Linked DNA regions of Arabidopsis thaliana. The protein of the gene in region 1 interacts with the protein of each later gene in a biochemical or structural test. Each region holds a gene or a part of one and is shown in the gene's direction. Other genes may lie near its edges.

The links. The genes of interacting proteins can lie anywhere in the genome.
Region 2: the proteins of PAB2 (region 1) and LARP6b interact in a test that uses a peptide from one of them, tested with the Arabidopsis thaliana proteins (one study listed by BioGRID).

The regions. Positions count from the first base shown.
Region 1 is NC_003075.7:16,334,364-16,340,837, forward strand, and holds PAB2 (poly(A) binding protein 2), read left to right. Parts: upstream 1-1,927; 5' UTR 1,928-2,368; coding exon 2,369-2,636; intron 2,637-2,869; coding exon 2,870-2,988; intron 2,989-3,175; coding exon 3,176-3,832; intron 3,833-3,921; coding exon 3,922-3,999; intron 4,000-4,074; coding exon 4,075-4,164; intron 4,165-4,431; coding exon 4,432-4,569; intron 4,570-4,803; coding exon 4,804-4,974; intron 4,975-5,076; coding exon 5,077-5,226; intron 5,227-5,310; coding exon 5,311-5,529; 3' UTR 5,530-5,951; downstream 5,952-6,474. Other genes in the region: CER9 (RING/U-box superfamily protein), read left to right, coding at 10-501. UniProt on the Arabidopsis thaliana protein: Binds the poly(A) tail of mRNA. Appears to be an important mediator of the multiple roles of the poly(A) tail in mRNA biogenesis, stability and translation. In the cytoplasm, affects both translation and mRNA decay.
Region 2 is NC_003071.7:18,204,711-18,210,223, reverse strand, and holds LARP6b (RNA-binding protein), read left to right. Parts: upstream 1-2,005; 5' UTR 2,006-2,192; coding exon 2,193-2,792; intron 2,793-2,864; coding exon 2,865-2,946; intron 2,947-3,038; coding exon 3,039-3,133; intron 3,134-3,219; coding exon 3,220-3,291; intron 3,292-3,370; coding exon 3,371-3,450; intron 3,451-3,548; coding exon 3,549-3,651; intron 3,652-3,743; coding exon 3,744-3,791; intron 3,792-3,881; coding exon 3,882-3,950; intron 3,951-4,126; coding exon 4,127-4,288; intron 4,289-4,362; coding exon 4,363-4,689; 3' UTR 4,690-4,989; downstream 4,990-5,513. Other genes in the region: ITPK4 (inositol 1,3,4-trisphosphate 5/6-kinase 4), read left to right, coding at 163-368, 510-660, 829-942, 1,046-1,108, 1,204-1,349, 1,434-1,563, 1,644-1,787; AT2G43960 (SWAP (Suppressor-of-White-APricot)/surp domain-containing protein), read left to right, coding at 5,317-5,322, 5,443-5,513. UniProt on the Arabidopsis thaliana protein: Transcriptional regulator.

The DNA.
Region 1 (6,474 bases):
AATGGACAGGTAATGCTGGATCATATGCTTCCAATAGTGGATGATAGCTGGAGAGCAAAGTTTGAGCGGGTAAGAGAAGATGGCTTCTCGAGGCTTCAAGGGTTATGGGTACTTAGAGAGATTGTGTTCCCGATCGTCATGAAACTCCTAACGGCTTTATGCGTGCCTTATGTGTTGGCAAGAGGAGTGTTCCCAATGCTCGGATATCCGCTTGTTGTGAACTCAGCGGTCTACAGATTCGCGTGGATAGGTTGTCTTTCAGTGAGCCTCTTCTGCTTCTGTGCAAAAAGATGCCATGTCTGGTTTAGAAACCTTCACAACTCTATCCGTGATGACCGTTATCTCATTGGTCGGAGACTGCATAACTTTGGGGAAGCTGCTTTAGCTAATCAAAACCAAAACCAAAGTAGTGAGGATGCAGGAGATGGTGTCTTGATAGGACGAGAGGGAGATGTTGATAATGGACTTAGGCTCAGACGTGCAATCCAACAAGAAGCTTAGAAAGAAACTGTGCACTGAGGCGTTTAACATTTTGTGTACTTAAGCCGTTAAGAGATGGCTTTGAAAGATTTATTATTAGTCGATGTGTAAATTATTATATCCGTTGATGATTCTCTTTTTTTTGTTTTTGTGTACGAAACTAAAAGATCTTTAGAATAATGCTTCGTTTGTCCATATGCCTTGTGTGTTTCTATGATAATGCTTCTAGAATACCTTCGCTTACTGCAAATTCTTGTCTTTTGTCTCTTATGTTAGTGCATGTAAGCCTTAAGGAATTGGCGTTGAAGATCTATTTGGCCGATGTGTGATTGTAGACATACTCGTTGATACTGTTTTTGGTTTTTTATTTTCCAACAGAATAAAAATAAGAGGAATGTTATAACCCCATTAGATAGATGTCCATATCAGGTTCATCTCAGACCCATATGCTTCAAGGGTTATGGGTACTTAGAGAGATTGTGTTCCCGATTGTGATGAAACTCCTAACGGCTTTATGTGTGCCTTATGTGTTGGCGAGAGGAGTGTTCCCAATGCTCGGATATCCGCTAGTAGTGAACTCAGCGGTCTACAGATTCGCATGGATAGGTTGTCTCTCAGTGAGCCTCTTCTGCTTCTGGTTTAGAAACCTTCACAACTCTATCCGTGATGACCGTTATCTCATTGGTCGGAGACTCCATAACTTTGGGGAAGCTGCTTTGGCAAAACCAAAGTAGTGAGGATGCGGGAGATGGTATCTTGATAGGACTTTAGGGAGATGTTGATAATGGACTTAAGGCTCAGACGTGCAATCCAACAAGAAGCTTAGAAAGAAACTGTGCACTGAGTCGTATTAACTTAGGCTTGGAAATATTTACTAGTCAATGTGTATCCCGTTGATCCTCTTTTGTTTGTGTATAATATCCAAAGGATCTTAAGAAATGAGTAATGACGCTTCGTATATATATATGCCTTGTGTGTTTCTACTTTCTATTGTAATGCTTTTTGAAATGATTGCGTATTGCAAAATCTCATCTCTCATCTTATGTTCTTTCGTGTCACAATTCTACTGGAAGGCCAATCGTGTATTAAGTTGAATTGTTTTGATAAGTCAAATCTTAACATATTGGTTATTTAATTAAGATACTTTTTGCATACCATATAAAATCGTGCGGTAAATATTAATATTAACAACTTTTACTTTAGGAAAATCAAAATTCATCAAGATCCAGTGAGAATATTGCTAATCAGAGTTAAGAAATGTTAAGATAAATCAAAGAAAATATCATCACTGTACAAAATTTTAACAAACTTGGTTACTAATTAGATTCGAAAGTGTCAAACACGCGCGTATCTGTTTGACTTTTCCGAAAGTGACGAGAAGGAAGACGACCTTATCAATTCACCAGCAACTCTAAAATCAATCCTACGATTTACTTCAGACTCGATCCAACGGCTGAGATCAATCTCACACTCCTAGGGTTCTTCTAGGGGAATTAAAGGTTTCTTTTTTTTGTTGGGTTAATAATATAAAAGCAAAGAAAAGGAGAAACCGTAATGCTTCTTTTTCATCTATCGTAATTGTGCTTGTTTCGCCTAGAATCTCTCGGCCCCCAAATATCTCACTCGCCGTCGCAGGCTTCGCCGCCGGCAATTTCTTACCCTATTTCATCTTCCCTCTCCTCTGATATACCCATAAAAACACAAAAAAAACGAAAAGATAAAAACTTTGGCTTTAGTTTTGTTGATTTTGTCATTCGATTCGATTTCTTTTTCTTCTTTCAAATTCTAGGGTTTTCGATTTGGTTTCAGTCTAATAACGAGAGGGGAGGGAAGAGTAACTAAAACCCCAAAAAAAGTCAAAAAAGTTTCGAAAATCCAAAAAAAGATAATGGCGCAGGTTCAACTTCAGGGTCAGACTCCGAATGGTTCGACCGCGGCGGTCACTTCTGCTCCGGCGACGTCAGGTGGAGCAACGGCGACCCAGTTTGGTAACACGTCGCTTTATGTGGGGGATCTCGATTTCAATGTGACGGACTCGCAGCTTTTCGATGCGTTTGGCCAAATGGGTACTGTGGTCACCGTTCGTGTCTGTAGGGATTTGGTCACTCGCCGATCTCTTGGCTATGGATACGTTAACTTCACCAATCCCCAAGACGGTTAGTCTCCTTAATTTTATTTGGACTTCTTCTTACAATTTCCAATTTTTAGGGTTTGCTCGATAGTACCAGTACTGGATTTGAATGAGGTGTGTTTTAAATGTTGATACTTTATGGTGTTTGTATGTATGCAATGTGGTTGGTGCTGTTGGAAAGCTTATCCCCTGCTTAATCAATCTTTTTAATGCTACTTCTGTCTTCTAATGGTACTTTATCTCGTGTCTTTGTTGCAGCTGCAAGAGCGATCCAAGAACTGAATTACATACCTCTTTATGGAAAACCTATTAGGGTTATGTATTCTCATCGTGATCCTAGTGTTCGCCGAAGTGGCGCTGGCAACATTTTTATTAAGGTACGCTTGTCTCTATCCTTCTGACATTTGAGTTGCTGTAAGACGAGATGATTGTTGCGAAAAAATTTGTATCTTGTATTATTCATTGAAAAGTCTGGCAAAAGTAGTTGATTTCTTTAGTTATGTAAGTTTTTTTATTGGGTGTTCTTTCTCTCTTTCTGATGCTAAACCTGGCTATAATATGCAGAATTTGGACGAGTCCATCGACCACAAAGCACTGCATGATACTTTTTCATCGTTTGGAAACATTGTGTCGTGCAAGGTAGCTGTCGATTCTTCAGGCCAGTCAAAAGGCTATGGGTTTGTGCAATACGCCAATGAAGAATCTGCCCAGAAAGCTATAGAGAAACTGAACGGCATGTTGCTCAATGACAAGCAAGTGTATGTGGGTCCTTTCCTGAGGAGACAAGAAAGAGACTCCACTGCTAACAAAACGAAATTCACCAATGTGTATGTGAAGAATCTCGCGGAAAGTACTACCGATGATGACTTGAAGAATGCTTTTGGCGAGTATGGAAAGATAACAAGTGCTGTCGTGATGAAAGATGGAGAAGGGAAGTCCAAGGGCTTTGGGTTTGTCAACTTTGAAAATGCTGATGATGCTGCTAGGGCTGTGGAGTCTCTCAATGGGCACAAATTTGATGATAAGGAGTGGTATGTTGGTAGAGCCCAGAAGAAGTCAGAGAGGGAAACAGAATTAAGGGTCCGTTATGAACAGAATTTGAAGGAAGCTGCAGACAAGTTTCAAAGTTCAAACTTGTATGTTAAGAATTTGGATCCTAGCATTTCAGATGAGAAACTTAAAGAGATCTTTTCTCCTTTTGGTACCGTTACATCTAGCAAGGTTCAATGTCCCTCTCTCTCTCTCTTTATTTGTAGTGAGTTGACTCTCCTAGTTCATTATTTAAGAAGTTCTTTTATTAAATATTACAGGTGATGCGGGATCCTAATGGAACAAGCAAAGGCTCAGGTTTTGTTGCTTTCGCAACTCCCGAAGAAGCAACTGAAGCTGTAAGTCAGTTGTATCGTCTTGTTGATTGTATTTATGAGGACTTTGATTGTTAGTAACAGTGGAATACTGTACAGATGTCACAGTTGAGCGGTAAAATGATCGAAAGCAAGCCACTCTATGTGGCTATTGCACAGCGGAAGGAAGACAGAAGGGTCAGACTACAGGTTTGCTTCTCTTGGAATCACCTCGTCTTGTGATACACTTACTACTCCTACTTTGCCTGTTGGAGTTTCAACTCTAAACAATTGGACCCATCATGTACAAGTCTTAGAATGTCCCACTGCGTATAATTATCAATACTGATGCTGATTCTTCTTTATAATCAAGTGCAACAATATATAAAGCATAAACAACATATGTCCTAGTATTTTTGTATCACAGAAAAATCTCTTTTTTCTCCTGCTGCTGAGTATTTGCATTGATGTGAATAGGCTCAGTTTTCCCAAGTGAGGCCAGTTGCAATGCAGCCGTCTGTTGGTCCCCGCATGCCAGTGTATCCCCCGGGTGGTCCTGGTATTGGACAACAAATGTTCTATGGTCAGGCCCCTCCTGCCATGATTCCTCCCCAGGTAATCTTCATGTTACTCTACTTTAAGTAGCCGTGTACGATTTTACACAAAGATATGCACATGTTTATTTTCTACCTTGGGTATAATGAATTACAAGCTGACAGATGCTTTTAAGTCACATGAAAAGTTTTTAAATTCTTTAGCTCTATAGTTGCTATACTCATACTTGAGCCTTTCCAAATCTATTTTGAAACTGCTGGGATAATATTAACCTGTACTTATGCAATGCCACAGCCTGGGTATGGATACCAACAGCAGCTTGTTCCTGGAATGAGACCTGGTGGGGGTCCTGTACCCAGTTTCTTCATGCCTATGGTTCAGCCACAGCAGCAGCGTCCTGGAGGAGGAAGACGTCCTGGGGGAATCCAACACTCCCAGCAGCAAAATCCCATGATGCAGCAACAGGTTCTTCTCTTTTCCTTATTTAATTGCAATAAAGGCTGCTTTGCTTGCTTGGCTCTCTTTTAATAGTTGATCGTATGGTTTTTCTGTTTGGATGGTGGTTAGATGCATCCAAGGGGTCGGATGTTCCGGTATCCCCAAGGGCGTGGTGGTAGTGGTGATGTGCCTCCATATGATATGGGCAACAACATGCCATTGACTATTGGAGCTTTGGCTTCAAATCTGTCTAATGCTACTCCAGAGCAACAGAGGACGGTGAGAGAATCTCTTAAAAACCAAATAGAGAGACTGGTTTTGCTTGGATTATAATAATGTGACCCTTTGGGTGTGTTTGTACAGATGCTGGGTGAGGTGCTGTACCCGTTGGTGGAGCAGGTTGAGGCAGAGTCTGCAGCCAAAGTGACTGGGATGCTTTTGGAGATGGACCAGACTGAAGTGCTCCATCTGTTGGAGTCACCAGAAGCTCTCAAGGCCAAAGTTGCAGAGGCTATGGATGTTCTCAGGAGTGTCGCTGCTGGTGGTGCAACCGAGCAGCTCGCTTCCTTGAACCTCTCTTAAATTGCTTTTTATCATTTGATCTTTGGCTTTTGTCTCTCCCATACAATTGGAGTTGTTTCTTTGCTATTCGTTTTCTCCCTGGGAATTTGGATTCCTCCACATAACTGCGTTTGTGTTATTTTAAACCTTCGTTTTTAAACCACAAAGGAAAAACCTATCTGCTTTGTTCTTTTGATTTAGTTGCGTGTTCTAGCTTGTTCGATCTAGTGTTCACGGAAGATGAATTTGATTACCAATAAGGCCAATGCTGGTGATCCCCCTCTTTGGCCTTTTGACTGTTGGTGGTTGTTGCTTCTAGTCATTTTTTTTACCAGTTTTTCAAGCTCTATTTTATGGTAAAAAGGTGTCCTGGTAAAAATGGATGAATGGGTCTCATTCTCAGCAGACAATGTTTGAATGAGAAAGAAATACATTTTAAACTTTTTATACACTTTGCTTCTAGATTGATTGGGACTAGTCGAATAGAAATCTTAGTAGAGGTCTAAGGAAACATGATACACATCTTGTTTGGTTGAAATCTTACCATTGTTTTTGGTTTCAGTTATTGATCTGGTTTTTGGACTACTTTTTCTGCAACTATTTGAGAATGAGAAATTACTTACCAAAAAAAAGAAAGTCTTCATCTACGCCAAGGATTTAGAATATTCGTACATGAATTTTGATTTCCAGTACATTGCGTCATGAACTATATAGTCTACTTGTTTTTTTTTGTATCTATTTGACATGCAGCAAAGCCAGCAACACATCTTTTATTGAGTCTGATGATATTTGTGAACTAATTCGAAAATATTTAAAAGATTCGAGTGTATGAAAGGTTTAACTATTATCAAAATCTCTAGATATTTCAACTGATGGCAACACTCAACAATCTCACAATCACGACATAAAAATCCAATAACACTTGAAACCAAAAGAGGGTTCAAATTAGGGTTTCTTGTTAAATCG
Region 2 (5,513 bases), on another chromosome or scaffold:
TCTGACTCTGAAGTATTATATATATGGTGATCATTGCTTAGTTTTTGGCTCTCTGTGTGCTGGTCGTATATATGCTTTACCCTCTAGGTCATTACTGATTCATGAAAGTAATATGGATATATATGTAATGTTCACCGATGTTAAATTTTCTGATTTTCTTAGAGGGGTGCTTTACCCATGTATCCTACTTCATGTGGGTTGATATTTCTGCCCCTCATGTTTGAGTTCCCTCTTGCATCTCAACTCAAACACGCTGATATCATTTTCCACAAAGCAACTGATGAAATCTTGTCCATTGAACTGAACTGCTCCGACTCAAAATCATCTGTTGCAGTTACATTCTCTACCGGCATGGAGAAACTGAAAAAGTAAGCTTCTCAATTCTTTGTTTTCAATCTAGCACTCAGTTATATCTGCAAGTGGCGTATAGATACCATCATACACAAATATGAGAAACCTTGTTAAAAATTCTCCATTCAGGTTTGCATAATGATATAAGGTATTTGCAGGTATATGGAAGATCAAAATGCTTGTGCCATAGTCGACCCTATTCGAAATATATATCCAGTCGTAGACCGACTCAAGATGCAACATATTCTTCTTGGATTAGAGGGCCTTGGTGCAGCAGGACGAAAGATAAGAGGTGCCTGCTTTCTCAAGGTCGTAAAAGTCCTCTCATTTTGATCAACTCGTCAATCTTCTTTATGCTTATAATCTTACATAGTTATCTCTTGAGACCTTTAGTCTGGCCTCTTAACTTCTCCAGTTTCGCATTGATGCTTTTCTTTTTTACTTTAGCAAATTAATATCAGAGTTCCTTATCTGCAGATTGACAGCTATGATGAACCAGATCTGGCTCAGAACTTGTCAAGAGCTGGACTCTCTCTTCCATGTATTGTGAAACCACAGGTTGCCTGTGGTGTTGCTGATGCTCACAGCATGGTGAATATCTCATACTTTCCATCTAGATTTGATATCTCGCAATATCTGTTGCTCTTTTCACAGCAGAACAAAAAAATTCCTCGTTTTCATGTGTTTCTCACAGGCCATTGTCTTCCGAGTCGAGGATTTTAAGAATCTGAACACTCCTGTTCCTGCCATTATCCAAGTAAGTCATAATGTAATATGGATACCCAAATCTAGGGGCACACTCCTAAATCAAGATGTCAAGCATAGAAAAACTTCTCAACCGATGTTTTGCAGGAGTATGTGGACCATTCATCTAGGATTTTTAAGTTTTACGTCTTGGGGGAAACGATCTTTCACGCGGTCAAGAAATCGATCCCTAGTTCTTCTAGTCTGAGGAAATCAGCGGAGGAAAATGGTCTCAAACCAATTCTCTTTGACAGGCAAGATTTCATAACAGTTCCATGAACACATAGCCTTCAGTTACTAAAAAGATTGTAACTTTGGTAGTTCCATTACCTCCACAGCTTAAAATCGTTACCTGTTGATTCCGCAAACCAGAACCCGGTAAGCGAGATTGATCTAGAGCTAGTTACAGAAGCAGCTACCTGGCTAAGAAAGAAGCTTGATCTCACAATCTTCGGCTTTGACGTAGTTGTAAGTATCATCCTCATCACACAAGACCCTTTATATATAACTCATTTACTTACACATTGTCTCTTTATTAATCTCCACAGATTCAAGAAGGAACAGGAGATCACGTGATAGTAGACTTGAACTACTTACCATCCTTTAAAGAAGTTCCGGATAACATCGCAGTTCCTGCATTCTGGGAAGCCATCAGAAACAGATTCGACCAACATGTCCAAGAGAAGCATTGAATCCAACATTGTGGGAAGCGAAACTCTTCTGTCTGTTTATTTTAGGAATGACCTGAAGCTGCTTTATGCTTCATACTCTGAGACTAATAATAATTGAGAAACATCTTTTATGGAATTTTGTAATTTTAAGACCAAACAAGTGAAGTTTTTTTTCTTTTGTCGATAAGAACAAAAGTCACATTCTATAAATATACGACAAGAGACGACCTTTGAGACTCGAGAAGCTCTCTCCAAAAACAAACGAAAAGAAGCGACTTTTGCCTCTTTTGGTCTCTCCCCTTCTCCGGAGAGATCTGCTCTCTCTATCTATCTCTCAATCTGTAAGAAGAAGATTCCCACTTCAGTAAAAGCCCTAACTTTACTTGGGAAAGTTCTTCATCTATCATCCTTCAATCGTCATCATCCATGGCTGATCAACAAACCCTAGATTCCTCTACTCCTCCTCCTACTCAATCCGATGATCTATCTCACTCCCACTCTACTTCCTCTACTACTTCAGCTTCTTCTTCCTCAGATCCATCACTCTTGAGGTCTCTCTCCTTAAGTCGACTCAACGCCGGAGCTCCTGAGTTCGTTCCTGGTCGAACTACTCCTCCGCTGCCTCAACCTCCGAGGATGATTATCCCGCCTCCTCCGCCGCACGGTATGCTTCATATGTATCACCACCAGCCTCCTTTCAATACTCCAGTTCTTGGTCCTGTTCCAATCCAGCCACACTTGGTTCCTGTTCAAAATCACCACCCTCATCATCGCTTTCATCAGCATCATCATCACAATCGTCATCAGAATCAGCAATATGTCCCGGTGAGGAATCACGGAGAGTATCAGCAGCGTGGTGGTGTCGGTGGTGAGCAGGAACCGGATTTGGTTTCAAAGAAGAATGATCGGAGAGATCATAGTAAGAGAGAATCTAAGAACGATCAAGTGACTGAAACTGGAGCTTCTGTTTCTATTGATTCAAAAACTGGTTTGCCTGAAGATTCTATCCAGAAGATTGTGAATCAGGTGATTAGATTCAGACATTGACACTCTTTTAAGACCACATGTGATCTTAAATCTAATCCAGTTTGGTTTCAGGTTGAATACTATTTCAGTGACTTGAACTTGGCTACTACAGATCATCTCATGAGATTCATTTGCAAGGATCCTGAAGGATATGGTAAGATGATGTCTGTTTGCTAAGTCATATGAGTTCGTTTTGCATAAAAGTGTAATAATCTTTTTGTTCCAATTCTTAATTGGTGATTTCAGTGCCTATTCATGTTGTTGCGTCGTTCAAGAAAATTAAAGCTGTCATTAACAATAATTCTCAGCTTGCCGCAGTGCTACAGAACTCAGCTAAGCTTGTGAGTTCTTTATGTTAGTGTGTATTGGTCAATAACTTTTATACGTGAGATTTTATGTTCTAACTTTTGACTGAGTCATCTCACAGTTTGTTAGTGAAGATGGAAAGAAAGTGAGACGCATAAGTCCGATTACTGAGTCGGCTATAGAAGAGCTTCAGGTACTTGACTCATTCCTGCTATTCCTATATTTCTGTATAGTGTATACTGGATAATGCTAATAAATATTATTATATACAGTCTCGCATTATTGTTGCTGAGAATCTCCCTGAGGATCATTGCTACCAAAACCTGATGAAGATTTTTTCAACTGTTGGAAGGTACACAACTGTTTCATCTTGTTCTAAAACCTAGAATCTACTTTTTCTTTCTTTTTATACACTTGAGGTTTTCTAAAATTATGAGTGTTTGTCTTCAGTGTGAAGAACATCCGTACCTGCCAGCCTCAAAATAATGGAAGCGGTGCTCCACCCGCAGCGAGATCAGCAGCTAAAAGCGATGGTACGCTTTTCAGTAACAAGGTAACTAGATGGACCCATGCGGCTTTGTGTTTGCCTCGTAGTTTTGGATTAACTGGATGCAAAATTGATGTCTCTTTTACATGTTCTTATAGGTCCATGCTTTTGTTGAGTATGAGATTGTTGAGCTAGCCGAGAGAGCAGTAATGCCTCACCTACACATATTTTCAGACTCTATATATTTTGATGCCTCTTGTGCTAATGTGGTTAACTGAAGGCATGTTACTGTACAGGTTACCGAGTTAAGTGAAGCGGGAAATTGGAGGAGCGGTCTTAAAGTCCGGTTGATGCTAAAGCATCAGGTATGTGGTTTTAAGTTTGACAAACACACTGTGCCTTTGCCCGTCCTTTCTCACTCTAATAAGCCGAGTCCAGATATCTTAGTAGTTGAGAACATTCTGTGAATTAAAAATGTCATCTGTCTGGGTTAATTAATGTCAGTTCCACTTGGCTTATATGTTATTATTCTATCATACAGACGAAGGAACCAAAACAAGGTCAAGGGCGAGGAAGAAAAGGACATGATGCAGATGTAGAACATGAGGAAGATGATGCTACAACATCCGAGCAGCAGCCGATTGAGAAACAATCTGATGACTGTTCTGGGGAATGGGATACACATATGCAAGAGCAGCCAATAGTAAGTAGACTAAATACGTTATTGGGTCTCTGCTTTGTTATCCATGGATGAATCTAAACTTTGCCACATAACAGGGAGAGGATCAAGGGAATGAGAAAGCGGCTGGGCAGAGAAAAGGGCGTAACAGAGGTAGAGGAAAGGGACGAGGACGAGGGCAACCACACCAGAACCAAAACCAGAACAACAACCACAGCCATAACCAAAACCACAACCACAATGGGCGAGGAAATCATCATCATCATCATCATCATCAAGTGGGAACACAACCTTCGAACAATCCAATGAACAACATGGAGCAACCAGGCATGGGGAAACAGCAACCACCTGGACCACGAATGCCTGATGGGACCAGAGGATTCTCAATGGGACGGGGAAAGCCGGTTATGGTTCAGGCAGAGTGATCCAGAGCTGTTTTGAAAAGGAGGTGATGTGGAATTGTGAATGGTCAAAAAGGGAGATAAATAGAGAGAGAGCAAGAGAGAAAGAGAGAGATTTATCCTTCCCATGGGGATTGGCTAGTTTTGCAGACTTTATATTTGTCTTACTTACTTCGAAATACTTTTCAATTACGCTTCTCTTACAAGGAAACAACAAAAAAACTACATTTTCCTCATATAGTGTACGTGTAATGAAACAGCAATTTCAGTTAATATTTTGTCCTAAAAGCTTTTCTAATGAAATAATGACATTTTTATCTTGTCACTGCTGACAAAAAAGAAGGTATTGTATAAGTAACAGTTAACATATGATCATAATTAATTAAGTTAAATATTTTTAAAAAATCTACTTAAATGGTGTGACCTTGGGTATCCTTATACACTCAGAGCCAATAATAAGACACTGTTTGCTAAATGACCCAATAACAAGACAATAACTCAATAAGCGTAACAAATAATAAGCCCAAATAGTAAAGGCCCATTAGAAAACCTAGAACGCTTCCAGTTTGGGGAGGGGGTAAACCTAAAACCAGTAATAAGCCTTATTTCTGCCAGATTTCTCTCGATCCGCTTCTTCTCGGCGTCACGGCTATGGAGGTACGTGCTTACGGTGTTTCTTAGAGTTTGTTGAGACAATTTTTGTAAACCAATAATAATCCATTTTGAAACGTGTAATACACGCTTCTCTATGTTATTTTTTAATCCTTGTGTTTGTAGAAAACAAAGAATAAAACTCCACCACCACGTCCAGATGATGATGAGCTGAGAAGTATTATGTTGGAGAGACT